Astyanax mexicanus: one gene and its partners. The protein of the gene in region 4 interacts with the protein of the main gene of each other region in a pairwise test. Links are inferred from orthologs where the notes say so. Each region holds a gene or a part of one and is shown on either strand. Other genes may lie near its edges. The genes, in order: rpl9, lnx1, kat5b and zbtb8a.

Region 1 (6,838 bases), on a different chromosome or scaffold from region 4:
CAATTATCCACAAGTAAATGAGTGTTTTGTGTGTGTGTGTGTCTGTGTGTACTTTGTCTCACCGTCTCTGTCCACTGAAGTGAGCACCACATAATCGAGCCCCCAGGCAGCGATGGCTTTAGCGGTGTTGTACGGCTCATCCGGATCCAGAGGAGGAGGATTTCTTGCTGTTTTTATAGAACAGAACCTGCAGCCACGAGTACAGGTATCCCCCATTAACTAGAGAGAGAGAGAGAGAGAGAGCACAGATATAATAAATCCTCATTTGCCACAGTGTGGTCTCTAGTATGAATGAATGCCATGTGAGCTGGTTTTTGTGGGGAAAAAAAGGGCTCTGGTGTTCTGGTATAACACTGCTTTAGTCCTGTGGAGGAGTGGGTGGGAGGGCCCAAAAGATTTTGGCTCTTGCTTATAAAAATTCATACATGCAAATATATCGCCTCTGACATTTTTACACTAATAACAGTCTTTGCAATGTCATATGTTATTTTACAACATGTTAATGCCCTGCTAACATGTACAACTCAGAGACACTCACTGTATTTTACAGAGGACAAGAAAAAGTGGATTTTAGCTTAAGGACACCTTTAAGTTTGACGGTTCTAGTCAGATCCCGGATACTTCCAGTGTGAACATGCTTATATTTGATTCACATTCTCTCTAATCCATATGCAAAAATATTTTTTTCCAAATCGTTAACCAAACCTTTATGCACCTGTGTGCATTTATCTCTGTATCTATTCTTCTGAATGTAATTAAAACAACAATCAGAAGCTTATAACTTGAGACACAATTTGGCTAGCTGTCCATGATAATACACTTACCATGATGGTTGCTGTAGCTGTAGCATGCTCCCCACCCCCCCAGCACTCTCCAATGTTAGGACATCTGGCCTCCTCACATACCTACAAAACACAGCAATGTTTTAATTACTAAACAAATAGAGCACTTGATATAACCTGGACATGAAGCAGTTCAGAATGTATCAGGTCAGAGTCTAAGGCTGCCCGTGTTTATATTACAAAGCTGAAGAGACTTAAATCAGATTTTTTGCATTAGTCTGACCTTAGGGGAAGTCATGTTCCAGCACACCAGAAGTAATAAAGAAGGGTTTTACCCAGTAATAAAAAAATTAACTTTAGTTAACTTTTAACTTAGTTTTTCCACATATAATCTAAACAAATTAATCCAAGTTGCTTAATACTGTGTGATTGCAATTTTCAATTTTCAGATTTTATTATAGAAACTATTTCAAATGTATTTTTTCTTCCTAATTTGTGCAGCCTACTTGAACACAGATTGGCCTCCAGATTCAGCCAATTAACATCAGCCCCAGGACTGCTGCTATCAGGTTACACTACATTAACTCTAAAAAAAAAACACAATGTTTTTTCTTTAATTTGAGATACTCACAGTGTGCAGGTTGAGATCTCGTAGAGTGTTCTTCAGTTTGTTGTAGTTTTTCCCAATAGGAATCTCAGTCTTCAGCCATGGTGGTAACCTCAGCCTGCAACATTAACCACAACACATTAAACAGTCACATTTTACAGGATTTAGTTTGAGAAAGACGTCAGTTTTAAATTTTTCTGCAGTGCCAGAGGGAAAATAATGTAAAAGTTAACGTGCAAAAATAGATGACCTGGATACATTTACCTTAGCACAGCTATTCGGATCATACATTTACCTAAGCAGTGCTATTCCAGTATACATTTACCTCAGCAGTGCAATTCTAATCATGAATTTACCTCAGTAGTGCTATTTTAATAATAAATGTACCTCAGTAGTGCTAATCAGACCCTTTCACACCACTGGACGAATACTTATTGTTGCTAAATATGCAGTGCATCAATAATCTCTACGTAGACTGAAAAGGTAACATCTTCAGCCTTTATTTCTACACAAACCAAATCACACTCTTAACACACTTACCGTTCTCCTTTCTGTCTCTTCAGGTTTCCCCTGTATTCCTCCCACCTGCCTTTCTCTGAGAGGTCTCCTGATATGAAGTCTTTCAGCTCCAGGCCGTCTTCTTTAATCTCCTTCTTTCTGTCCTGCAGTGTAGCCGATGTACTGGCTGTACTGGTCAGTCGACTGATGTGGACCTGTGACAATTTAAAATAACAGCAATTAAAATAACGTATTGTAGATTCAGATCAAAATGTGAAACTGATATATAGATGTATTACACATAGAAATTATCTATTTTAAGCATTTATTTATTTTATTTTGTTGATGATTATGGTTTATAGCCAATGAAAACCCATAAATCAGTATTTTTAATATTATATAAGACGAATTGGTACTTCAGGCAGTGTGGGCAGTGTGCCAAGTCCTGTTAGAAAATGAAATCTGCATCTACATAAAAGTTGTCAGCAGAGAGAAGCATTAAAAGCTGTAAAATTTTCCAGGAAAACACTGCACTTTAGACTTGATATAATACAGTGGATCAACACCAGCAGATAACATATCTCTCCAAACCATCACTGACCATCAGTAAATTTTGCATTTTATTTGAAAATTAGAGTCTGGAGGAAGAGTGGAGAGACACACAGTCCAAGCTGCTTGAGGTCTAGTGTGAAGTGTTCACAATCAGTGATGGTTTGGAGCGACATGTCATCTGCTGGTGTTATTGTAAATGTTATATATAATATTTTTAAAAAATATTTGAGACCTTTAAAAAAGGAAAATCTGCTGATATATTGTGATGTTATTGTGATGCCCTAATTTTATCTGCTTCTTCTGTAAACTAGTTTATTTAACCTTTGGATTATTGGCTCCAGTTAGTTAGTGAGCTACCCGAAGGAACGGTGTTCCTGTTTATTTATTAAGATTAAAGCACTGAAACACACTGTGAAGAGTTTATATACACAGTTAAAACACAGTTCTGCACATTTAAAACACAGTTCTGAAAGTTCTCAGCTTCTCCTCCGGCGGGTCACCACTGTCTCTAATCTGACCTACAGGCCCGAACCGGCCCCGGAAAGGCCCCCGGTTCCCAGGTACTGCCCCGGTCTCCACTCACACCCTCTAATAACCCACTGACCTGCTGGGACTCAGCGCAGGATCTCGGGGTAAACAGCAGCTGACAGCAGGAGAACCGCCCCGCAGCCACACAGCTCCTGTTCACCAGCGCCATGACTCCCTATGACCAGTCCTCCTCTACTGACACCATCCGCCCCTCCGCGCTCGATTACCCGTCTCGCTGCTAACGCCGCTTAGGACTTTTATTATATAACAAAATAAAAGATCTGCTGGATAAAATCTGGCTTTAGGTGCTGCCCGGTTAATTCTTTTTTTTTTTTCTTAATTTAGCCACTTTTCATTGTCTGCAAATGAATGCTCTAAATGACAGTATTTTATTTGGAATTTAGGAGAAATGTTATCTATAGTTTATAGAATAAAAAACAATATTCATTTTATTTAAACATAAATTCAGAAACTGAAGTTGTTCCATTAGGTTTGTCTTTTACACCTCTCTATTATTAAAACAAATTAGTGAATTAAATTATCTATTTGTTGTGTGTTTTTTTCTATATATGTAAATAAGAAAATAACTATTAAGAACATCTAAAAACAAATACACTCACACCTTATTTTTTATTAGAGATGTAATAAATAAAATCAGTTGACTAAGAAAGTTTTAAAGCACTTTCCAAATAGGATCAGTCGATTGAAAATAAAGTTTAGCAGTTTACCAGAAAAAAATATAAAATATTATATATAAACAAAAAGATGTGTGTGTATACATATAAAACAGGTTGTCGAAAATCGTTGGGTTCCGCTATCAGTCGGTCTGGTCTGCGCGCTCAGTGGTGATGTCAGCACGTTGGCGCTACAATTGCGTCATGACGCCGCTCCTCCTTCCTTTCCTCCTCTATCAGCGAGGTAAGAACATGGCGCTGCCTGATCCCTCGATTTCAAAATCCACTGTAATCCTCAGTAGTGGCCCCTCTCACCGCGCTACAGGCTGTATATGATATAGTTTAAGTGTCGGATGAAGAGTTAATGTGTGTATTTCTGCTCTGCGGCTCGGTTTAGTGTGGATTAACGTCCGAAGCGCCCGGCCTGACCCTGTTTATCTGTTAGCCGGTAGCCACCGCACCGTGCTGGTCGCTCGGCCTGAGGGATGGAGGCCGGGCGAGGGTCTGAGCCGCTCGTCTGAGTAATGAGGAGAGCTGAGAACTGTAAAGAGCAGGAGCAGAAGCTGTAGAGTTACAGGTGTAGTCTGTGTGGAGCTGGGCTGCTCACATACGTGTGAATAGCTAGCTGATTACTGTAGCCGGCAGTCCACTGCTAACTAGTTTGAGTCTTGTAGAGTCCTGTAGTCTGTGTTCAAGTCAAGTTTTTAAGAGTCTGAATCTTTGCTGACCCCCAGTTTGTCCTCCTCCACAGAATGAAGACCATTCTCAGTACCCAGACGGTGGACATCCCCGACAAAGGTAAGCTATAAGCTGTATTCAACTATTGACACTTATTAGTTATTAGTATACGGTAATATATTGGCTATATACAGTTTGAAACACCCCCTCATCTTAACACTGAGAATCCTGTTGGATCACTACTTATAAGACTGCAGATTTATAAGACTGGGGTTTTGGGTTCAAGTCCATGTCTGGTTGGAGTTTTCCACAGTCCAAAAACTTGGAAATCAGGTAAATTGGATACTCTAATTTAGGGGTGGGCCCTGTTGTATCATATGCTATAACATTGGCCAGATATGGCAACCTGTGCCTGATTCAGTCCTCCAGGTGGACAGTTGTTTCCGAATGAGTGTGCGCTATGTGATTGGCTGCTGCTTCTCACTTTTCAGTGTGTGATGGTTGAGTTGTGTGTAAAATGTGTTTTTTAAATGTCATTCAGTGTCAAGGTGCTATATAAATGTAATTTTGTAAATATGTGCATGCAATGTAGTTTGACTGTTTTCTTATCGTTAAAATAAAACCTCTAAAGAAATATATATGTATACATGCAGTCATTTAGAGGTTGATTCTTCCTCATGCCCTCCTGGCCAATTGTAAAAGACTGTCAAACTACTTGGGGCAAACAAAAGCAGTATTTGACCCCTGCTTCCTGCCCTAAATATGGCCACAACATGCTAAATGTACTATGTATAAAGGGATGGATTCATTTTGTATAAACAGAAGTCATGAACACAGAATTCAGTTCTCTCAACATATAGCCTGGTAACACAAACATTTATTTCTTGTCTTCTGTCCTCGTAGTTGATGTGAGCCTAAAAGGCCGCACCATCACTGTGAAGGGTCCTCGTGGAACTCTTCGCCGGGAGTTCAGCCACATTAACCTGGAGCTTCGTCTGCTCGGCAAGAAGCAGAAGAAGGTAAGGGTGATCTTGACCGAATTGACTTGTAAATATACTGAGTTCTTGTGTTGTGTTGGTGTGGCTGACTGTTTTCCTCTGTAGCTGCGTGTGGACAAATGGTGGGGTAACAGGAAGGAGCTGGCCACTGTCAGAACCATTTGCAGCCATGTTCAGAACATGATCAAGGGTGTGACCATGGTAAGAACATCAGTTTTGGATCATATCAAAGTTTTATGTTTTCTTTTATGATTCTTATTTAAATTATGTCCAAAGAGCAGTGTTTGTCTGCTGTTAAATTTTTAGTTTGTAATACGGGTGGATGGGATAGCTCAGATTTTTGCATACATTTTTTTATAATAATCTTGTTGAATATAATGTAGCAATGTTTTTTTTTGTGTGTAATGCAAGTTTCCAGCTTTTTTAAATTAAATGATAAATGTCACTATCTGCCACAAGACTGAAGTGTAGAAAATGTAGTGCTCAAACAATTTACTGTTACAATTGTTGTATAAAATTAACATTTTAAAGCGACACTACACTGTAAGCTATTTCAAAGAAAGACTTTAAAATGATGTAGCACAATGTTGTTTAGAAAGTTTCCATTTGGTTTAGAACATACATTGCATTACTCTATTTAAACTCAATAACAAACAGTTGTGTACCAGAAACAATGATAACTGTGTAGTTGTAACTTTCATTTTTTGTACATTCAGCGTATGGTCTTGTCCCAGGTCACATGACTTTAGCTAATTTGTTGATTGTGTGGGTTATTTTGTTTCAGTTGATGAAAAATGTGTAAACATTGTTTGAATGTGTGTTTTGTGTAGGGCTTCAGGTACAAGATGCGATCTGTGTATGCCCATTTCCCCATCAACGTGGTGATTCAGGAGAGTGGCTCACTGGTGGAGATCAGGAACTTCCTGGGAGAGAAGTACATTCGCCGTGTCCGCATGAGGCCAGGTACATTTGTTAGCCTGCTGGCTAACTTTTGTCTGTTAATCCCGCTATACTGAGAGGTTTCTGCTGACGAGCCACTGTTTAAAAATAAATGAAATTCCACATGGTTGGTTCTGCTCTGTTTTGATACCATCATTTTAATGTGTAATGGTTGGGCAGTGTGCTAATCCAGAATTTAATCTACAAACTGTAAAATTAATGAGTTAAATAGTCTTGATGGATAATAGCTTGACTGTTTCAGTAGCTGATCTGATTTGCTGTTGGAAAAAGATCAAGAACAATCAGTTCGATCAAAACACCCAGCTCTATTATATTGGTTCATCTTCTGATTTTTAGGATAACTGAAAAGCCAATGTCCTCTAATGCAGAGTTAAGTTTGTAGAAACTTTGCTGATCTTTAATAGCATTTTGATCTAATTGTCTGTTCTGATTTGTAGGTGTGAACTGTGCGCTCTCAGCAGCCCAGAAAGACGAGCTTGTTCTGGAGGGTAACGATATTGAGCTGGTGTCAAACTCTGGTAAGATTGGCCTTTTCTGTTTTACATGATGAAAAAAACAGGC
Region 2 (7,756 bases), on a different chromosome or scaffold from region 4:
AGAATAGAACAATGTGAGTTAACATTGCCACAGAGAAACATAAACATCTCTGACAGCTGCAGTTATGAAAAGGTACTGAAAAGCTGGCAGACAAACTGGTATTGTGACTGTTCTGGCTGCAGGCGTCACTGCTCATATTACACAGGTACAGGCCTGATCTCTGAGCCTCCACAGCACTAACAACCTCAACTCTCTCTCTACCTTCACTCTGATGAGTTTGGAAGATGTGGAGAGAAGATTAAACACGGACGTCTCCGGATGTTTGATTTGAACAGCTAACATTAAAGTAGACTCTTCCACTCTCTCTTGGGCAGAAATGTGTGTATCTTGACTTTATTTCGAGACAAGGATTAAGTGCTTTTCTACCACAAGAATGTATCTTTTTGCAGTTAATCATCCAGTGAAGTGCTTCTCTTTGCTAAAGTATGGGAAGATAATCTTGCAGTAGGTGTCTATAAGTGTAACACACAAACACACACACACACACAGCCAGATACACACATTCAGATACACACATTCAAACACATAGAGGACATGAAGAGCATTAGAATTCATGAGAGTGTGCCATGGGTGTTGCATCCACATAAGTAGTTCACATCAAAGCACCATATAGCAGGGCATATGGCGAGTTATATAAGAGTGTTTTAACATAGGCCTACAGAATGCCCCCTTTTCTCTGCCCTCCCCCAACTTTTCAATTTTCCTTCCTCCTATCTACACTCCTTCACTTTCTCCAGTGAACATTCCTATACTTTGGGTTTGAGAGAAGAGCTGGATTATATATCAGGGATTTGTTAAAGGTGCTTGAGGAACAGAATAGTTAAATAATACGAGTTTTGTAAAAATCTATAATACTAAATTAGTTCCAGTAAGTTCATATAGACTGTTACATAACAGTATTGGTTTATTTTATTTTTGCCCCAGCAAAGGCACAGTACTTTCAGTGAAATGATATTAAGGCTAATAACAATGGTTACTTTGAGAAAATATGGAAACAAGACTAATTAAAAAGGTTATAATTGTTTTTTTGTTTGTTTGTTTCTTTTTAACACAAAACGTCTTCGTCTAATTGTGAGATAAAATAACATTTAATTTATTTAATTAATTGAATTACTTTTTTAATGTAATTTCCATGTGAAATGGGATCATTGAGATTTTACATCTTTACATATAGAAGTTGAAAAAGGGAATCTCAATAGATACACATTTGTTTCTGTCAGACACTTATAAAGGACATATTTTTACACCTTTGTTTACACTGTTTACTATAAAAGCTGCATGTAAGGTTGTTGGAGTCTATTTATTAAAAATAAATTAATTAAATGTGAAGTGAAACAAAAGCTTGTGCATTACTTTAAAGGTTGCTTTTTGTTTACAAATAGAAAAAAATAAGTTATTGTGCAAAGAACAAAAATGCAAATCTTATTTGAGGTTTGCTTATATACAGATCTGTTAAAAAAAATAAGAGGTAACTTAAAAATGATTTTTTGGGGGGTTTTCTCAAATTAAAAACCTCTGAAATATAATTAAGAGGAAGATGGATGATCACAAGCCATCAAACCAAACTGAACTGCTTACATTTTTGCACCAGGAGTGGCATAAAGTTATCCAAAAGCAGTGTGACTAGTGAAGAACAACATGATGTCAAGATGCATGAAAACTGTGATTAAAAACCAGGGTTATTCCACCAAATATTGATTTCTGAACTCTTAAAAAGTTCTGAATATGAACTTGTTTTCTTATTATTATTTAATGTCTGAAAGCTCTGCATTTTTTTTTTATTTCAGCCATTTCTCATGTTCTGCAAATAAATGCTCTAAATGAGAATTTTTTTTTTTTATTTGGGAGAAATGTTGTCCGTATTTTATAGAATAAAACCACAATGTTCATTTTACTCAAACATAACCCTATAAATAGCAAAATCAACTGATGTAGAAACTGAAGTGGTCTTTTAATGTTTTTTTTCCAGAGCTGTATTTGAAGAAAATTGAGGGCTACTCCCAACTCAATGCAAGAACATTGTGAGGATAAAAGCAATAACTAGTTTGAGAGAATAAGGAAATATGGATAACATAAGGCTAAAAGCTAACAGTGGGCTGACCAGAGAAAGAGATTAGCTGGAGCTGGTAAGGTGAGAGGGTGCTTGGCTAAAAGCTAACAGAGTGGCTTAACTTCAGCTAGCTAACTGCACACAGTGCTGGCTGGACACCAAGGGGGCAACAGCACTTTCTGGTATAACATGCAGGAAAAAATACAAAATTTCAATGTCATGTTTTAGTGCTGTGGTTTCTTTTATCCTATATTCGATACCTTTTGTGACATAGAGCAGCCGATTAAAGAGCTTATCATAGCTTATCATAGGTTACAGTGTAAAAACATATACTGTGTAAGTACCGGTATGTTTTATTCGACGTCAAGGTAACAGGGTTGTAAATAGGCTTGTTAGCATACACACACATACTGTATTATCTTTAAAACTGTATTATCTCTAAAACTGTTACATAACTATCTTGGTATTGCTCCAAAATGTCCCACTTGCCACCTTTATTATAAGACTGAAGATAAGCTTTGCTTTCGCTTTACTTCTACAGGTCTGAGAAAGAGATAAAGCAAGAAAGCACCATTACACAAGTTAGCAGTGAGTGAAAGTTAAAAAGTGATAGATTACTGAACACAGAGCGTGACGGCTGGAAACAAAAAGGTTCACAAGTCCACAAGCTTTCAGCTGATCAAACTTACAGCGCATTCAGTTTGTTCTCCCGCCTCCTGCTGTGTCCTCCACACCTCACCTGCACAGGTAATCCTAGAGGCTACTGCCGGCCCAGAGAGAGAGAGAAAGAGAGACCCTGAGTGATCTCAAGACGTCACGCCTTCTCCTTTCCACAGTATAGATAGAAGAATCCACTGCAATTTCCCTTTTCTCTGTGGCAGGAAGAGTGTGCCCTGGGTATGCAAAACACAGCCTTTCTGCCTTTCTGTCCGCCTGTGCTGCCACACAATTCACACACTCACACACACCTGACATAGGAAGTCTCCATTCAAGGGGGTGGAGCCACAGAGGAAGGCAGGTAAACATGAGAACTGCCCAAACCAGCTCTGGAGCTACCGGTAAAAAAGACACACACACACACATAGACACACTTAGACACACACAGACACACACATACAGACTGGAGTAAAGAGTAACAGAAACAAAACAGGCCTTTGTATTGGCTTTAATTATTTAATTGACTATTACTTTGTAATACTATTCAAATGTAATTAAACCATTGTAAGATAAATGGCATGAACTTAAATGTTGGGACAGTATAGAAAATGTAATTTTGACTTTTATTTAAGTATAAACCATTAGGCTCTCTATGTTGCAAAGGGCCCCACAAGTTAAATAAGTTTCAGTTCCACCTTAAATGCTGACTCTACATGCACACAGTCACACTAACAACAGCTTATTTACTGATTTTGTAAATCTAAATTTTTTAACAGTATCTGGACAAAATTCCTGCACTATTAAAGCTGGAGAATAAACAGCCAAGCTGGCTTCCGTTTCTTCTATTCCACCTTAAGTAGCTATTACAGAATTAATGTTCACCAGCTACTTATTTGATTGTTCTGTTCCACCTTAAATAGTGATGTTTATTTGGTAACACAATAAGGGTCACAAATAACAGTACTTATGACAGTAATAAACACTAATAAATATAGTGTAAAAAGTAATGTCTGAATGAATTATAAATTGATACTAGTTAAGACGTTATTAAACATTAATAAATAAATTGAATGCTTTATAATGTTATAAATAATAATAAATTGAGACATTAGTTAAATGAATGAATTCTAGCTATTCCACCTTAAAATCTGCATGGTTACAGGTGTTCATATTGGGCAGTCTAGAGGCAGTATATGGATGTAAAGGGTGATTGCTACAGTCCTCTTATTATCATTTTAAACTAAGACCATGCTTATCCAGTCTCTTAGCGTAATCAATACTAAAGATTGAACTGAATGGAAACAATTAAGGGACACATTTGGTAATTTGGGATGAGCTGGAGCTTCACAGAGTGAAGGAAAAGCAGCAGCTGTTGTTCAGGACCTTCAGAAACTCCTTCAAGATGCTGAGAAAACTGTTTCATGTGACTCTCCCTCATAAAGACACTGAAATTAAAATACAGTGTCCTCAAAGCTTAATGTGATACTAAGAAGAATCTAAACTATAAAACATGTTCTGGTTTGGTTAACATTTTTTTTAACAAATTAATTCCACATGGGTTCCTGTATAACTTTAAATATTAAATTTACAATGTAAAAAAATCATAAAAAGAAAACACATTGAATGAGAATATACTGTATATTACCAAATTACATGAAGCTGAGTGTAAAAAACACAACATATATTGGGTGAATTCTGTCTGCAGTCAAATAAAAAGCAAAGCATATATAAGAAACACAGCTTTTTATATCACACTTCCCATATTGACCCAACGTTTTCTGACCTAAGGTTGTACAGCTACATTAAATATTGTCACTTTCAGCAGGTTTATTATAATTCTTATAAAACTCCAGTGAAAACATTTCTCCTGTGAGTAAGATTACATGGTATACCATTGCACACAAACAGATTTTACAGCCAGTTTTACAGTTTCTCAGCAAGGTTTGTGCTCAGAAACCTGCAGGTTTTAACATGTCACTGGACAAAAGAGCAGCTAAACCTGCACAAATTCCAATGAACGCTTTGCACCAAACCAGTGCCTATATCTAATGCATACAGTAAGAGCAGTTAGGGATTATGAAGTTTCATGAGCTTGATTTTAGAGTGGTTATTCCACTTCATGACTAGACACCTCTTGCTCTCACGCACATAATCAGGTGTTTAGCTGTGTGTGTAAATGTGTGTCATATGCTGACAGACACTAAATGACGTATTAATGACGTGCTAACTTTGTCACTCCTGAGTGTCGCTCGAATAAAGCTCTGCTGTTGTCATTGTCTGGGAACAAAGCTACCAGGAGAAAGAACCCTTTCTATGTATACAACCGTATTTTGCGCACCATAAGGCGCACTTAAAATCCTTTAATTTTCCCAAACATCATCAGTGCGACTTATAATCCGGTGCACCTTATATATGAATTTTATTAGTCAGGTTGTAAGGAGCAGTAAAAAGCCACTCTGCTGAAGTACAGCCTTATACAGGAGTTTCAGTTTAAAGTTCTCCAGCACCAAGACTGAAGCAGCATTAGCATTAGCTGCTAACCATGGTAAGCGCTAGCTCTTTCGCCGCTCAGAGGTGAGTATTATAGGCATGTAGTCTGCTGCTAACCCCAGCTAGCACTGCTGGAGCAGCATTAGCATTAGTCACTAACTGCGCTAGCTCTTTTTATCATGTTAAAACAAGCCACATGGGATGAACCACTAGCTAACATCATCCTGGCTTACCAGAACTCTCAGGGTTCCTCAGTGTAGCGCTGTCGAGAGGAATTAGCTGCTAACCGTGGCTAGCCTTATTAGAAATCTGGAAATCTAAGTTTACTGTAAATAAACAGATGCGCATAACTCACCCAAATAAACAGTTTTCAGGAGAGAATTCTGTGTAGATTAACATCCAGCACTCGATTGACTTTTTTTTTGAGGAATTACAGTTTTGTTTACTTAGCTTAACTTTACAGGTCTGCCGAATTAGAAGGTAAACATGGTGACACATCTGTTCCTTACTAGTGTCGCTTAATGCGCCTTATAATCCAGTTTACCTTATGTATGAAAACAGACCAGAAAATAGATATTAATATTGAATTCAGTGCACCTTATACTGTGAAAAATCCGGTAAGTGTAATGCACCTGTCTGTTTTTTTAAGGTCAAAAATGTCTAAAGCAATGAACGACCACCAGTTTTTCCATTGACCAATATGCTCTACAATATACTGACTTGACAAATGTCATGGGACAGGAACTAATATCAGGTCCCATTCTTTCGCCATGTTCCATAAAAGCTAATGTACGCTGCAAAGAGCTGTGGGATATGCATGTGGGGCCTCATGCATTGAATGTGGAGGTGGTTTCTAATTGCATATCTGTTTACATGGACATTTCCAGCCAGACACCGCAGGTCACGATCATTAACGTCCACTGTATTGTCCACTGTGGGCGGTAATGCCTTTAATGGTGACTTTAGAAATGGAATGTACCATCCACTGTTAGGTCTCACTTAAACTCCAGTCCAGTGTTCAGCCTTACTCACAAGAGATTACCTGACAACTTATACAGAGGTGGAGAAGTACCAATTAGTCTCCTAAGGTAACACAAATCCCACCAGCCTGTTGAGCAATGGAACTGCGTTCTATAAAGTGATTGAGCTCCATCTAATACCTGTGGGGTGGGATGAAGTGGGGTTTGTGATCCAGCACTAATCCTCCAATGTCAGCCCCGTCTTATAAAAGCAATGAAATCCTTACAGTAATGTTCAAATATTTACTGTGAATCCTTCTCAGATGCTGTTCCTGCAGCAGAGGGGAAAAACAGCTGTGTTCTGTATCTGAAACAGATCCACAAGCCAAGAAACAGCTCAATCCAACATCTTTTATATAGTGACAGATAATATATCACCAACCAGAAAGCTCATACTGTGTATGTACACTGAAAAAAACTGAGTAAAATTTACTTAAAAAAAGTTTTGCAACTTTCTGCATTTGCTTTTTTAAAGTAAACTTTAATTTGAAGTAAATTAATTAATATGCTTCTTGGCCATGTCTTTTGAAAGTAGCACACTTCTAGTATACTTTGTTGTATATAAAAATATATTTTAATATACTGTATTACTGTACTGTATAAGTTTTGTTTAAATTAGTGGTAATTTAATTTACTTTCTAAAAAAGTTACATGCACTTTACGTTACATTGCATTTTAAGTGAACTACTGTAACAGTTGTTTTTAACACACTTTTCTAAAAATGTACAAAAGCATATTTGGAAATACGTATTTTAGAAGTATATTGAATTACATTAAACTAACATTGTGCTTCATAGTAGTCTATTTTTAATACACTATATTGTACTTTTTAAAAAGTATGATCAAAGCGTGAAAGCATAATGAAAGCATAATAATAATAATAATAATAATAATAATAATATTAATGTACTTTAAATATATTTTAAGTACGTACATGAATCTGTTGAATCAGAATACTGAGGCATTTCTCAATATGTCTTAAGTACAATTAAGTATATCCTTTTTTTCACCAGTGTTTACTATTCTGAATTGGCCACATTCTATCAGTATATCTTCAGTGTTGTCCCATAAAAAGACATAATAAAATACAAGGGATTTACTCACTTTTGTAGGAAATTAATTTATAAATACTTCTTTTTTTTTTTTTTACTTTTTATTATTTAATTATCAGTCAGCATCTATTTAAATCCCCGAAACATAAACACTGAAACTACCTGCATGTCCTTGTGAATGAATGTTAAAAGGTTTCAGTTTCAGCCTCCATATCAACACGCTCTTTATATCGAAACTGTGATAAGCTCAGATGCTTTTAATTTATTTCAAAAGGCTTCCTGGCTGGCCTGTATCGGTTTGATAAGTTGTTACATGTTGTGGTACTTAGTTTTGTATCAAAATCAAAATGAAAAAACATATTTTTGGATTGTATCATGGAAATGCCAGAAGTCATGGGGCAGCTGTTTGTAAATTGATTATGTGTGAAGTGTTACCACAGGAGATGGCTTAAGAATAAACTCACTTGTGTAAGTTTTGAGTTCTTAAC
Region 3 (6,980 bases), on a different chromosome or scaffold from region 4:
GTAAGATCGTGCACGAGTACATCGGCGGCTACATCTTCATGTCCACCCGGAGCCGCGAGCAAAACGACACACTGAACGAGGAGCTCTTCCACAAACTGACAGGAGGCCACGAGGCTCTCTAAGAGAAGCTCTGGATGAGACAGAAAGATTACTACCAACACAAAAATGGAGAGAGACTTGAGAAACATCAGAAAGAACTTTTTTCTGGCTTGGAAAAAGTCTCAGCCTGCCCCTGAAGGAATTTATGATCAACATTTTCAAGAGACAATAAACAATTTAGATTTTTTAAATAACAGCTAAGAAAATGAAACAGCTACATGTCAAAAATGTTGATATGCTTTACTGCAGCCCTTATAACCCAACACTATTGATTATCCACTGGATAGTCATGAGTTTTTTGGAGTAATGTGGACTAAACTGTTTCAGCTGCGTCATTACTTTTTAGAGCAAACATGAAGGTGTTGTCAGCATGCAAACATTAATAAAACCATGAAGCACTGGGTTAAGGGCCAGTGTCAAGTTGCTTTGTGTAGATCCATTCTGCTTAGCATGTTCTAATCTAATCAAAAGGTCTGTCCACAGATTTACACTGAACAACAAAGAACAGTAGGTATTTTCAATAATGTTTGACACAGATGAACCAAAACATGATGACTATTATGAAATAAATGAAGGAAATAAGATAGATTATCTTGTAACAACAAGATGGCTACAGTATGCTAGATGGAAATTTACCTGTTGGTACCTGTTACATCGGGCCCATAAAAAAAATCGACCCGATCCGCCCCATAAACTGTCATTATGAGCCCAAGCCCAAACCCAACATTTTTTAGTTTGTCCTATTATTTAAGGAAAATGTTTATCAGGAACAGCTACACATAGCGCTGCAAGTCAAAAGCGGACAAAAGTGGAACTGCTGTGTGATTATAACATTCTAACTTGTGCGATTTGTATTTGAAAAACAGTTTAATTTGTTAATTAGCTATTTAGTGATCATCACACCGTATATAAAATAAAGATCGCATTAAAAACAGATTCCTACATCACAGACTATTTTCCTAAGCCCGACCCAGCCTGAGAAAAGTGCTGGGAAATCTTGGCCTGATTTCGGTTGGGCCTCGGGTCGGGTTCGGGCAGATAATTTAAACTTTACCTGTTGGTGCTTGTTAACACTGATTCATGTGGGATAAATGGCCAAAATAAGGTGCACCATTTTTTATTAAGGGCCAGATTTTTATAACTAGATAACTAGAACAGACTAGAGTATCTTTAGAACCACAAATCATCAGCATAATGTTGGACACCAGTTTGGTGCATATCCATCTAAACTGACTAAACTGACTAATGGGCAATTGTGAAGCACGGGATCTGTTTCTTGGAGCATTGGTGTAGGCTGTAGATCATAATAATTTGTCTCTTTGCTATATGTGATATTACAAAAACGCATAACGTGCACCTGAAACATAGTCCAAAATAAGATTATGTAAATAATTGGTTTAATGTCTATTCTGTAAGCACAGCACAGTTACAGTGTTATTCATCCTGCAGCTTACTGAGAAGCTACTAAAGTGAAGGAAGTTGTGGGTTTGCACAGGAAAACCACAATTTCTGCAGTATGTCCAGGTGCAAAGAGCAGACTGCGCCCTCATGTGTGCAATTTATGAAAAGCTAGTGTGTTATGTGTGTAAAATATATTATTTTTCAAAAATGTGATTTATATTAAAGATAAAAAATATGACTCCAAACATCTGATTTAAAATTAAGTTAGATATAGGGACATTTCCTGCTGTCCACTCAAAATAAATCAAACCAGTGCCCACTCTGAATAAACCAAACCAGTGCTTCCTCTGAATGAACCAAACCAGTGCTCGCTCTTAATGAATGAAACCAGTGATTCCTCTGAATGAACCAAACCAGTGCTCGCTCTGAATGAGTGAAACCTGTGTCTTCTCTGAATGACTCAAACCAGTGCCCACTCTGAATGAATGAAACCAATTACTTCTATGAATGAATGAAACAAGTGCCCACTCTGAATTAATCAAACCAGTGCCCACTCTGAATGATAAATAAAGCCAATGTTTGCTCTGAAAGTATCCAAGTCATCCAAGGCCCGCACTATATGAATTAAAACAGGACCCACGCTGCATGAATCAAACCAGTGCCCACTCTGAATGAAGGAAGCCAATGCCAGCTCTGAATGAATCAAAGTTTACTAGGAATTATTCCAACCAATACCCGGTCTGAATGAATCCAGCCAATATACCTGCTGTGAACTAGCAAACTGTTCCAAACTAAGCAGATGCCATCCATCTGCCTCCAAACCCCTTCTGTCCTTTTTAACTTTATGCTTGGATCAGATATGTTTTATCTGAAAATGTGTGAAACATTTCACCTCCGTGCCACACTTTACTGCCAAGTAAATTATTGGGTAAGCCAGTCATTAACTATGTTTTCCTTTTCTTGGTAAATTTTCATAAAAAATGCACATTGTGTTTCCATATCTATTCCATTCTAATTTTCTTTCTTTTTGATATATCTGCCTGTTGTTTCATTACATTAGGTCTAAATTTTATAATGAATGAACCAACAGAAACACCCCAAAATTAAGCAAGAAAAAAAACTCCCTCAAACTAAGAGGAACAAACCTTGGTAGGTACCCAAACCCAGTAAGAGGAACCCATTGTCCTCTGGTTGACCTTGACAGCACAAACAAATAACATAACAAAAACAACTGTACAGAGAGATAATGGGGAGATATAGCTAATATAGAAATAGATTATTAATTGTTATGACAATAAAGTCTCCTTGAATCCTTATTATAAGTTCCAGAGCAGAGCAAAGGGCAGCAGGGCAGTGAATAGCAAGGCTCAACAGAACATGCAAAAGAGATAGAACAGAAATGCAGAAAAGAAAAGGATTTTAGAATGGTTGTGTATAAACCCTGCTGTAATTGGGACAGGCCTGTTACCAGAATGCAGGAACTGGAACCAAAAAAGGGCACCTCGAGGCAGCTCAGGACAGGATGACTAAGACAGGGTTTGTGGTTGGTGTGTGAACTGTAACAGAAATAGTTAGTTAGTTAGTTTTCTGTTTAGTTATCTAGTTTAGTTTAAGGATTTTGGTACGTAGAACCACATACGTAGAAAGGGCAACAATATAGATAACTGTGCGTTCATTATTTGGCCAATAACAGGTCATTGTTGCCCTTTCTACATATGTGTTATAACTGATTATTAATGATTTTAAGGCATTTACAACCTAATTAGTAACCATTAATAAACTAACTGTGAACCATTTATAAACCCTTTATGAAGGTAGTCTTATTTTAAAGTGGTACCAGAATTTTATACATGACCAGTCAATTTGTTATATTTATTTACTACATTTATTTTCTTCTCTGTTCAATTAAAGCTACACTACACCTGAGGGAACAGTTTATGTCTAAAAGTAATGTTAATCTTCTATACAAGCTTTATACACTTGGAACTGGGTAAATTTAACATTTCTGAACAGCTTCACAAAAGAGTTTTTTTTTTTTACATTTACTGAATGAAACATTTTTATGAACAATTCATTCAAGAGCACAACATAAAAACATACATATTTTTTTTGTTATTTCAGCCATTTCTCATTTTCTGCAAATAAATGCTCTAAATGACAATATTTTCATTTGGAATTTGAGGGAAATGTTGTTTGTAGTTTATAGAAAAAGACAACAATGTTCATTTTACTATTAATAGCAAAAATCAGAGAAACTGATTAAGAAACTGAAGTGGTCTCTTAATTTTTCAGACTTGTATTTGTACAGATTGTTTAAATGAAAGAACAGTTAAACTAAGGGGAAGGTTTGTGTCTGTAAGTACTGTTAATGGTCTATAAATGTGATTTTTTTTTAAATTCATACACTTACACAGGACCGGGTAAATGTAACATTTCTGAGCAGCTTCACAAAGCTGTTTGTCAGACATCATCTTCAACAGCTCATCCGCGTCATCACTGTAATCTCGCGCCCCGCGGACGTCTCGCGAGAGAGCGCGCTGAAGACGAAAATGGCGGACACATCGGTGAGTGGTTTATGGAGGGTCCGGTTATAGTTTTCCTCTAAACGAGCGATTACATCAGAATTACGTTGTCTCACCGAGGCTGGTTAAATACCTTAATATCTTATCTATCCACAGATGGAGATCGTGGAGGGCTGCCGTCTCCCTGTTCTCCGGAAAAATCAAGAAAATGAGGACGAGTGGCGTAAGTACCGTCCGCTCTCAGCCGCCGCCGCTAACGCTGCTAACGCGCTGTCATGGCGGAGCAGCATGTAAACAAAGAGCGGCTCCAACAACCGTGCGGCGATAAATCCGAGAATAACTCCAAAAATCAGACCGCTGAGGACATGTTTACTGAACCCGGAGTGAATTCAGTCTTTTATCTCTGCTGTCATGATCTGTTAACGTTTATTTATTAACCTAAACTGAAGGAAAGCTCCTTACTAATCTAACCAAGATAGCTAGATAACCTAGGTAACCTGTTAACTACCTGTCCTGAGGGCGTTTAGCTATAAAATAAAACACCTGAGTAAAGCATATAAAACAAGGCTAAAATTGAAGACTGTAGAACTGTACAATACCAGTCTAAAGTTTAGACACACCTTCTCATTAAATGTTTTGCTTTATTACTTTCTCTAATGTATTCTCTATAAAAATATTTTAATGTAGATTAATATCATGTCAAGTAGTTTTATTGTACATATTAAATATGTGCACGACATACAGAGGATTACAATTAGGTTACTCTTCTTCCCAAAATTACAGCAATATAAAATTATAAATATAAAAGAATGAGAGACACTAAATGTACAATACAACAAGGTCACAGATATAGACAATACTTGAGACAGGAGACAAGACAATAGTGTAGTAGTGATAGGGAATTATTAAGTAAACAAACAAAAAAAGTGTTTATCCTCTACAATCCCCTGACCTAAACCCAACTGAGATGGTTATTTAATATGAGCTGGAGCTTCACAGCTCGAAGGAAAAGCAGCAGCTATTGTTCATCACCTCCAGGAACTCATTCAAGACTTTAAAAACATATCCAGGTGACTTATCCAAGAGTGTTTAGATCTGTCCTCAAAGATAAATGTGTCTACGTAGAAAAGTAAAAATGTAGAACATGTATTCTGGTTTGTTTAACACGTTTTATTTATAGAATCATTCTGTGTGTGTTACTGTATAGCTTTAATACTATTGAATTACTAGTGCAAATTTTATTTTAGTAAAAATGTGAAATTCATATATTATATATAGTGTGTTTTATTGTTTATGATTATGGCTTACAGCAAATAAAAGTCCTGCTGGAAAATGAAAATCAGCAGATGACATATCTCCAAACCATCACTGATTGTGGAAACTTCAAACTAGACCTCAAGCTCAAGACAGTGTGTCTCTCCACGCTTTCTCCAGACTCTGGTCCCTTGATTTTCTGTTTACTGTTTACCCACTTTACTGATGGTCAGTGATGGTTTGGAGAGTTATGTCATCTGCTGGTGTTGGTCCACTGTGTTATATCAAGTCCAAAGTAAATGTAGTGTTTTTTAGATGCCTTAGACTTCAATATTACATTTTAAATGTAAATAAAATAAGAAAATAAAGAAAAAGAAAAGATTAAATGAGATAAGGTGTGTCTCAACTTTTGACTGGTACTACATACTAAGAATGGGCTTTATTGTTTCTCCCACTGAGCAGGCTTGAGTTTTAGGTAAAGACTGACTAACTGAGAAAGTCATTCTGTATTTAGTTGTTAAATAGAAGTTTTAAGTGTAGCTGAATAAAACTGACCTAGTGTATCCAATTGGATAGTTTCTTCTAGGTTCTAGTTTTAGTGTTTTTTTTTCTGCAAAATTATGCATTTGGAATGTAAGCAAATTCCTTTATAATTAGTAAAAGTAAAATATAAGAACCTCTCAGAACTAAAATAATTTGTCAGGTGCCATCAGTATAACCATTTCTGTTGTAGATTTCTGTTATATGGGGTTTAGAGGCATGTTTGGCCTCATCACCTCTGGTGTACAGATGGATTTAATTTTTCATTTAATCCTGGTTTCTCTTTACAAAAAGAAAAAAAAACTGCCCATAGTGGCATTACAAAATACTGTTGGAATCTTTCAGTAATGTCTGTTTTTTTATATTTTATCTTCTCTAGCACTGGCTGAAATTCTCAGTGTCAAAGATACACTTGGGAGGAAGCTTTTCTATGTTCACTACATTGACTGTAAGTACATTTCATGTTAAAGTGTGTTGCTTTCATAAAGCTACGAATTTAAACAAACGAAAAAAGTGTTTGACAGTTCAGTCACGGGCATTTGTCATTTCTTTGTAGTTAACAAGCGTCTGGATGAATGGGTCACTCCGGACAGGTTGGACATGAAAAAGCTCCAATTTCCAAAGAAGGAGGCGAAAACACCCACAAAAAATGGACTACCTGGGTCTCGACCCAGTTCACCAGAAAGAGAAGTGGTAAGAGAGACTGCACTTGCCCTCTAATGTCTACATTTAATGTTCTGGAGGCCAAATTATAGGTGTGAGCTTTGGTCCCTAGTTTTTTCCACAAAATTGTGCATTTATTCATTGAATTTTGTTTAAACTGATGCTAGAATTGAAATCTTGCCAAAAAATAAATACATATTACCATGCACAGGTGTTTAAATGACTTCTACCCATTAACTCTGTTCTCTTCCTTTCTGTTCAAATTCAGAGGAAGAGTCTAGATCTCAACGTTCAAGCTGCTTCAGCTCCTTCCAGAGGCAAAACCCTCCCCACACCGGTACAGCTAACCCTTGCCCATTCTACACCAAAAAAATACACAATTTTGAGTTACCATATTAAAAGTTGTATGAATGGGCTCACAATGACTTGTTTCTTGAAATGCCCTAATTGGATCCTCTCTGACACTTTCCGTGAAGTGGGAGGGATATACTTAATGTGCCT
Region 4 (7,352 bases):
GGCTGTGCTGACCTCGCAGGCCGTGGGCTCTTCACTGCCATCCTCACCACCGTCTCGTGAAGCGCTGCCATCCGACAAACACAGGTAGCGGCTGTCCTCCTCCTTGGTGCTGATCTCCAGGGAGGATTTGATGAAGGACTTGCAGTAGGCGATGACGTCATCCATCTGCAGGTAGCTGGCCGCTGACATCACCTCGATCATATTGGTGCTGTTAAGCTCCAGTTTTCCAGAGTACACAAAGTCCAGGATGATGGTAAAGATGTCGGGGCTAAAAGCGTCAAAGGAGGCACTGACGGGCTCCAGGCTGCTCTTGGCCCCCTGGGAGAGCAGCATGCGGAAGTAGCCGCTGCTGCCGAACAGGACGTTACGGTGTGCCCGGAAAAGGTGCCCCTCCACAAGGATGTTGCAGTCACAGAAGAGCTGCTTCCGTCTCTGTTGGTCCAGCTGTTTCAGGAGGCAGCACTGGTGATTGGCTGATATGTCTGCACTCGTGAATTTGTGGATCAGCCTGAAATAAGAAAAGATGCAGTTAAAGATGGCATGATTAAAAATTAGCTGGTTTTAAAGAAATATGTTGTGAAATTAGAGGTGGACAATATGCCCCTAAAATAATATCACGATATTTCAAAAAACATTACTCCTTGCTGAAGGCCTCTGACAACAGACTAATCCTGTCCCCTTTTTTAATTATTAAAAAATATTCAGACATCGAATTTCAATATATAAAATATTTTTATGTTCTAAATAATGCTGCATGCCATCAGCAGCCAGAGTCCAAGAAAGCATAATTGGCCATGCTCTCTTTGGAAGGGTAGATGGTGCTTCTCATTGATGTCAATTGAATCTCCATGCTTGGTAAAAAACTATGGGCAATATCTACATCAGCAAAAATAATTGAGGTCATGTTCATATACTTTATGATAGGTTGATAATGCCTTTATAATATTCCATATAATAATAATGTTATGTGACAAGTCTACCACAAACCATCATACCCACACAAAAAGAGCAGGTGTGGACCAGTTCAGCAATAGAGAAACCACATCTTACAGTAGGTACAGATGCAAAATGACCAAAATATATATAATTGATATCAAATTTAGCATAGACACAGCAGCTAGCCTTGGTTAGATAAAGTATGTTTTGCTGTTTGATATAAGCTAAGATATATGATATATGTTGATATTGAATTATTGTCTAGTCCCACTTGTAATATAAAAGACAATAAAAAATAAATTATAAAAAATAATTATTATAGTATATGCTTGTTTTTAGCCACCAACGTTAAAATCTAGGTATACAGAGTCAAATCGGCTCAGCCACAACATTTCCACTGAAGTGCTCCAGACCGTGGATCATAATTCACCCCAGCAGCCCATTTCTGGGTCATCCTCTCCCCTTCCCAGATCCTTTGTTCCATCCAGAAAGGAAAAGGGCTAAAACAGACACCCCTGCTTTCTGATTGGCTGTTACGTCTGTCAGTCAAGCGCGCTGGCTCTCGAGGAGAGAGCCGCACCCCGTGTTATTTCCTTTCCCACCTGTATTGCGACAGGTCCCGCCCCCTTGATGCACTGTGATTGGCTAATAGAACAGGACTGAAAGTCATGAGTGCGGCATCTGCTATAAGCTCCTAGTGCTGTCAATTATATTCCTAAAATGGGTGGGGACAAAAATAACACACACACCCCCGTTTCTCCCAACGGGTAACAGAATTTAGGATCGGGGTGGAGGTAAATAAAAAAGGTCGGGTGGTAAAAATCAGAGAAAAATAATATATATATATATATTTTTCTCTATCTTCTTTTATTTTATAGATTTTAATGTATATGATTAAACCTTGTAATCAGAACAGACAAGCACCAAAAATATATTCTATTTTTTTTTTACCAATATCTTACAAACATATTTTCATTTATATTTCATTATAATAAGTTAATAATTAGCTATAATATTTCGCAATTGATGTTGAAAAAGAGGTCAATCCCACAAAAAAAGAAAAAAACGAGCACGCCCGCCCGTGCTCCATTAGAGCAGCCTACACCCGTTTGAAAGGCGAGCTAAAACTAGCTTCTAACCTCCAGGACCTGGATAACGCTCACTAGCCATAATGTGTGTGTTTTTCCTCAGTTAATAAGACAGACGAGATAAATGTGTGGAATATTTGCCATAAAATAAGCTAATAATGTGGAAACGGGCAGCCGCTGGAAGCCCTTCATGTTTGAGCCCATCGACCTCCTTCCCTCCCCCTGTTCTCTACTAACTGCAGCAGCTAAACAGGAAAATACAGTAAAATACTGTGTCCACGGCACTAAATGCAACATTTTGAGCATTATCAACGAAATAAAGCGAATAAACGCCCATATTAAGGGTTTAAAGAGGGTGGGCTAACATGCAAACCACGCCCGGGGTGGTTCAGGGACTTAGCTCGGCTCCCACAGCCCGCGGTTAGCCCTCTTCTTCAGCGGGAGATCCTGCACTGCGCAGCGGCGGCGCGGTGCTCTCTCCCCGTGCGCGGAGCTCCGCCTAGCCCGCTGACTCCCTCCTGCCTGACCTCCGCCCGCCACCCACCTAAGTCCGCTCCGGCCCCGCTGCCTGCCTCTCTCTGCCTCTCCCCCGTCTCACACTCCGGGGCGGCTGTGCCCCTTCCTTCCGCCCCCTTTCCTCCAACAAAGCGGCATACAGCATACTCACTGCTGACCCGGCTCGCTCGGGGTCCGGTACGGTCTACTCGTCCCACTTTCGCAGACCATCTCCATGTCTTTAGGCTACTTTGGTCGGTTTTAGTGGTGGTGCTGTTTCCCACCCCCTCCAGCTTTAACTGATCACTTCCTGCTTAGCCCGAAAGACCGAAACCCGTTAGTGTGTGTGTGTGTGTGTGTGAGGGGGATAAAGCCCCCCACACGGCTCTTGCTGACGTGGGTGTTCAGAGAGCCCGCCAGGGCTGTGGAGCCACTTAAAGCACAAGTGTCCTCCTCCACATGCCCGCTCTCCGCTCGCTCCAGCCCGGCCACTCCACCCGACCTCTGCGCCTCTAACCCTCCCGCAGGAGACCGACCGCACCCGTCCGAGTCGTCCAATCTTACCTCGATATCAAATAACATTTAATAAATGTTGTTGTTTTGTATGCATCACATCTGTCAATGTTGACAATGGAAAAACAACAATTAAACAGCCTGGTATTAAAAACCTTGAATAAATGTTATTGTTTTGGTTGCATCCCATCTTTTAAAGTGGACAGAAGAAAAATTTAACCACCCTTTATTTAACATTGCCTAATATAGGCATTGGTTAGAGTGTTGAAATTCTGACAATTAATCGAACTCATTCAGTTTGAATAGTTAGAGCTCAGAATATACACCCACAATGGATAACACTATTTGTTTTAACTAATAATATTATTATTAGTCCCTCAAAACGTTGAGAAAACTATTTCAGGTGACACTACCTCATGAAGACACTGAGATTAAAATAGCAAGACTGTAGAATGCATCTTGAGCACCTGCATTACAGCCTGGTTTGGGAACTGCAACATCTCAGATCGCAAGACCCTACAGCGGACAGTGAGGACAGCTGAGCAGATCATCGGAGACCCTCTCCCCTCCATCACCGAGATCTACACCACACGCTACATCTGCAAAGCTTATGGACGACCCCACCCATCCCTCACATGTACTCTTCAGTCTGATGCCGTCCGGCAGAAGATACAGGAGCTTCCGAGCCTTTACTACCGGACTCTGCAACAGCTTCATCCACCAGGCAGTCAGACTCCACAACACACAGATCTGAACTAAACCCCCCACCACTCTTCACACACAGAAAGACTCAGCACACAGAGACTGAAATGTTTCTCTGTGTTTCAGTGTCTCAGTATCTTCATCCCTATCAGCAATGTTTGCTGCTTCTACCAAAAAAACACAAATTCTCTACATCAGTAACTGCTGTGATCATGTATGTTCTATACGTTACAGCATGTTAAATTCCTCTGCACCTTATCCTCACTAGAACATTTAACTTTACCGTGATGGTACTGCACTGTCTTGTCTTTTAAATTGTCTCATCTATTGTATTTATTTGATTTATTTTGGTGTTTTAGATTTATGTTGCTCTTACGTTACACTTTTGCAATTTGTTTATCTATTGTATTGTTGTAGCTGTACCAGAAGCTCTAAAAGCTCTTGGTGCAGATCTAGAGTGTAAAACCAGGGTAACCTAGCTGCTCCACCTAGTAGGTTTAAAGTTAGAGACAGAAGCTCTGAATCTGTTGCTGCACAGTTTATGATGGTCATCCTTTAGTCCTTCATCAGTGCAAACAGGATGCTGTTGGTGGACTATTCTCTGTCCAGCAGTGACAGTGAGATGTTTAAAAACTCCAGCAGCACTGCTGTATCTGATCCACTTATGCCAACATACACACACTAACACCTCATACACCACCACCATGCCAGTCAGTATCACTGCAGTGCTGAGAATGAACTATAAAGTGCCCTGCCAAAAATGAGAAAATTGACAGTGGGAGGAAAAACAAGGCTATCATCATTTTATATTTTATTAGTAATTATTGAATGAAGTAATACTGAACTGGGCTCATGTGCTGAATAAGAGCTGAATGCTAGAGTAATTCAGATCAACTTTCATAATAAATTTGGGTTTAGGCGACGGATAGAATTCACAGTTAGGTTAACAAACGTATTATTAGTAATTAACTAGTTATTCCAATGCTGAAACGTGGGCATAACACATGTAATGGCTGAAATACACAGCTTTATAAATGCACAAGATACAATATATATTTTTTTGTAAATCCCTTTTATTATGAGTTGCAAAAAAGCACCTGTTTTGGTCTTCTTGTATTTGGCTTCAATGCAGTTATAAAAGAAGTATAGTCAGATGAAAATAAAACAATCCCTTGTTTCCCAAAATAATTAAATTATAATTATTTAAAGAATTAAGTTAATCAACAGTATTGACAACATGACAAGGTACAAACAGAAAGATATGCAATGAACTTGGCCCTGGAAATGTTAAGTTAAGAATGGATTTGAATAAAGAAAATACAGGATCAATAAAGACACATACTAAGATTGGTCAAAGAGACAAAGGCTTGCTAATAATAATTTAAAAGTAATCAGGTAGAAACAGTACTGTAAGGAATGTAAATCATTCATTGTGTCATTGTTTTCATAGATTTCGTCTAGTTTAAATCAAGTCGTAGAAAAGTAATGGACTTCATGGCTCTAGGATCTTCTTCTCTTCAGTCTTCCTTCTGCATCAGCTTCACACCACATTCCCATTACTGAAGCCTGTGGGATTTTGGGACTGCCAGCGCCACAGGTCTTCACCTGTCAGAGCAAATAAACAGGAAATTGCATCATCAAATGTCAAGACGAAAAACTGAATTTATTTCCAGTATACAAATTTTTTCCAATAGGGAGTTGTTGGAATGGAATGGAATTTTATATGTGTAAATGTAAAGACGATATATGTATATGTAAGTGATTACAATTTTAGAGAGAAAGGATAAGTTTATTGGGGAATGCATACAATCCACTGAATAGAATCCATATCAATCCCATTAAAAGAAGGCTAGCTTAGATACAATATAAAATACAGTGGGTAATACAGTAGGAATACAGGTTCTGCATGGCATCCTGAAGCGCATTTAGCTAAAGATGTTGCAGTTGGGCCTGTAGATCGTGTACATTTTAAGGATGTTGAAGCTAGAATACCAGCTGGATACCACACAGGACTTGGATTCTCCATGAATGACAATGCAGTGCCACTCCGTAGCAGTCCACGTTTCACAGTCCCACGGCAAGTAGGGCTGCATGATATATCGTTTTAAGCATCGTCATTGCGATGTTAGCATTCGCAATAGTCACATCGCAGGACGTGCGATGTCACTTAAGGCAATTAAATCAAACACGTCATGTTGCAATGTTTTGATTCTTGACACAAGAAGTAGATACACAGCGTCGTCTCTGTGTCTGTGTAAATGACAGGCTGCTGCTGCCTAAGAAGCTTGAGGGTAACTGCATGGCCTCCATCCACATGGTTGGGTATGTGCTTGTAAACGCACGTGTCGAAAGCTGTTCGCCTCAGTCCAGCACAGTTTTGCAGCGCAGATATTTCCAGTTACAGCTGAATTCTTGCTTTTAAACCCAGAAAAACACTCATATTTATCTTTTACCTGCCTGATTAAAGGGCCGATTACTGTTATTTTGCTGTTTTCCTCAGGTTTTGAGAGCTCGGCACTGACTCAGCTCTTGATCGCTCCGGAAGCACGTGGACAGCACGTGGGTGGGGACAGGGCTGGTGACATCATGGACGCTGCATTGTTTAATATCGCGATAGAGATAGTCGAAAAAAGCACATTTTTGCAATGTAATTTTCCAATATCATGCAGCCCTAACAGGAAACAAGATTTCAGTGGCTAGCTGAAACTAGACTAGGTGGAGTAGGCGGTATTCAGTTTATCAAAACACCTAAATGGGCAGAATGTCTATGACTGTGTTGTAGAGACATGTCTAACAGTCAATGATCTAGAGATACACTACCTAAAGCATGTCTTATACACCCTGTTTTGATAGGGCAGCATTTAAAACACTTTTACTACTAGTGCCATTATTACAATTATTTACATATCTGCCTAAGACATAACTTTAGCAAGCAATCTTGATTTCGTTTTATGATTTTGTTAATAGATGTAGTACTAACTCCTCTAGAGACAGAAATTGAGTGAAACCCATTGAATTTATACGTACACATTCTCTCCAGGCCAAAATCAGCCTTCCATCCCAGCTCCTTCTCAGCCAGGCTAGGGTCTGCATAGCATGACGCTATGTCTCCGTTCCTCCGGGGAGCAATCTTGTACGCAATCTGCCACAAAAAAAAGGGCAAACCCAAGACATTTAGGAACTTTTAACTTGATGATTACAGAATGTCTACAAATGGACTGTATGGATCTGAAATGTACACACCTCATTTCCAGAAGCCTTTTCCATAGCCTTCACCATCTGCAGCACAGAGTAACCAGTTCCTGTACCCAGATTATACACCTGCAGAGAGAGATAGAGAGAGAGAGCAAGAGTAAGTAACACACAAGAAAAGACATAGAGACAGAGATTGAGAAACAGAAATTGAGAAGAGATTGAAAAAAAGAAGAGACTGGAAGAGAATAGATTAGAATGGAAAAAACTGACATATTGGAAGATAAAAGAGCAGAAAAGAAGGTATGGAAAGTCATTAGGCAGAAATAGAGGAGACTGAAAGAGGAGAAATTAGAAGACAAATAATGAAGAGTTTGGAAGAGAAAAGAAAAGAAGAGACCCGAAAAGAATGGACTAAAAAAAGAC

The links.
Region 1: the proteins of zbtb8a (region 4) and rpl9 interact in binary tests that used the Homo sapiens proteins (3 or more experiments, as listed by UniProt). The two-hybrid records come from large-scale screens. The link is inferred for Astyanax mexicanus from reciprocal best matches to the Homo sapiens genes ZBTB8A and RPL9.
Region 2: the proteins of zbtb8a (region 4) and lnx1 interact in a two-hybrid assay, tested with the Homo sapiens proteins (2 studies listed by BioGRID and IntAct). The link is inferred for Astyanax mexicanus from reciprocal best matches to the Homo sapiens genes ZBTB8A and LNX1.
Region 3: the proteins of zbtb8a (region 4) and kat5b interact in binary tests that used the Homo sapiens proteins (3 or more experiments, as listed by UniProt). The link is inferred for Astyanax mexicanus from reciprocal best matches to the Homo sapiens genes ZBTB8A and KAT5.

The regions. Positions count from the first base shown.
Region 1 is NC_064432.1:20,210,625-20,217,462, reverse strand, and holds the start of rpl9 (60S ribosomal protein L9), read left to right. Parts: upstream 1-3,825; 5' UTR 3,826-3,885; intron 3,886-4,392; 5' UTR 4,393-4,393; coding exon 4,394-4,439; intron 4,440-5,222; coding exon 5,223-5,338; intron 5,339-5,422; coding exon 5,423-5,518; intron 5,519-6,147; coding exon 6,148-6,280; intron 6,281-6,714; coding exon 6,715-6,795; intron 6,796-6,838. Other genes in the region: lias (lipoyl synthase, mitochondrial), read right to left, coding at 63-219, 825-905, 1,414-1,507, 1,930-2,102, 3,044-3,136.
Region 2 is NC_064408.1:64,611,353-64,619,108, reverse strand, and holds the start of lnx1 (E3 ubiquitin-protein ligase LNX), read right to left. Parts: upstream 3,026-7,756; 5' UTR 2,740-3,025; intron 1-2,739.
Region 3 is NC_064408.1:21,537,589-21,544,568, forward strand, and holds the start of kat5b (histone acetyltransferase KAT5b), read left to right. Parts: upstream 1-3,960; 5' UTR 3,961-4,049; coding exon 4,050-4,064; intron 4,065-4,178; coding exon 4,179-4,245; intron 4,246-6,195; coding exon 6,196-6,264; intron 6,265-6,372; coding exon 6,373-6,509; intron 6,510-6,747; coding exon 6,748-6,816; intron 6,817-6,980. Other genes in the region: im:7154036 (fermitin family homolog 3), read left to right, coding at 1-122. UniProt on the Homo sapiens protein: Catalytic subunit of the NuA4 histone acetyltransferase complex, a multiprotein complex involved in transcriptional activation of select genes principally by acetylation of nucleosomal histones H2A and H4.
Region 4 is NC_064421.1:41,105,358-41,112,709, reverse strand, and holds the start of zbtb8a (zinc finger and BTB domain-containing protein 8A), read right to left. Parts: upstream 3,023-7,352; 5' UTR 2,757-3,022; coding exon 2,692-2,756; intron 2,645-2,691; exon of another isoform or gene 2,392-2,644; coding exon of another isoform or gene 2,390-2,391; intron 509-2,389; coding exon 1-508. Other genes in the region: gale (UDP-glucose 4-epimerase), read right to left, coding at 5,275-5,339, 6,762-6,876, 6,978-7,055. UniProt on the Homo sapiens protein: May be involved in transcriptional regulation.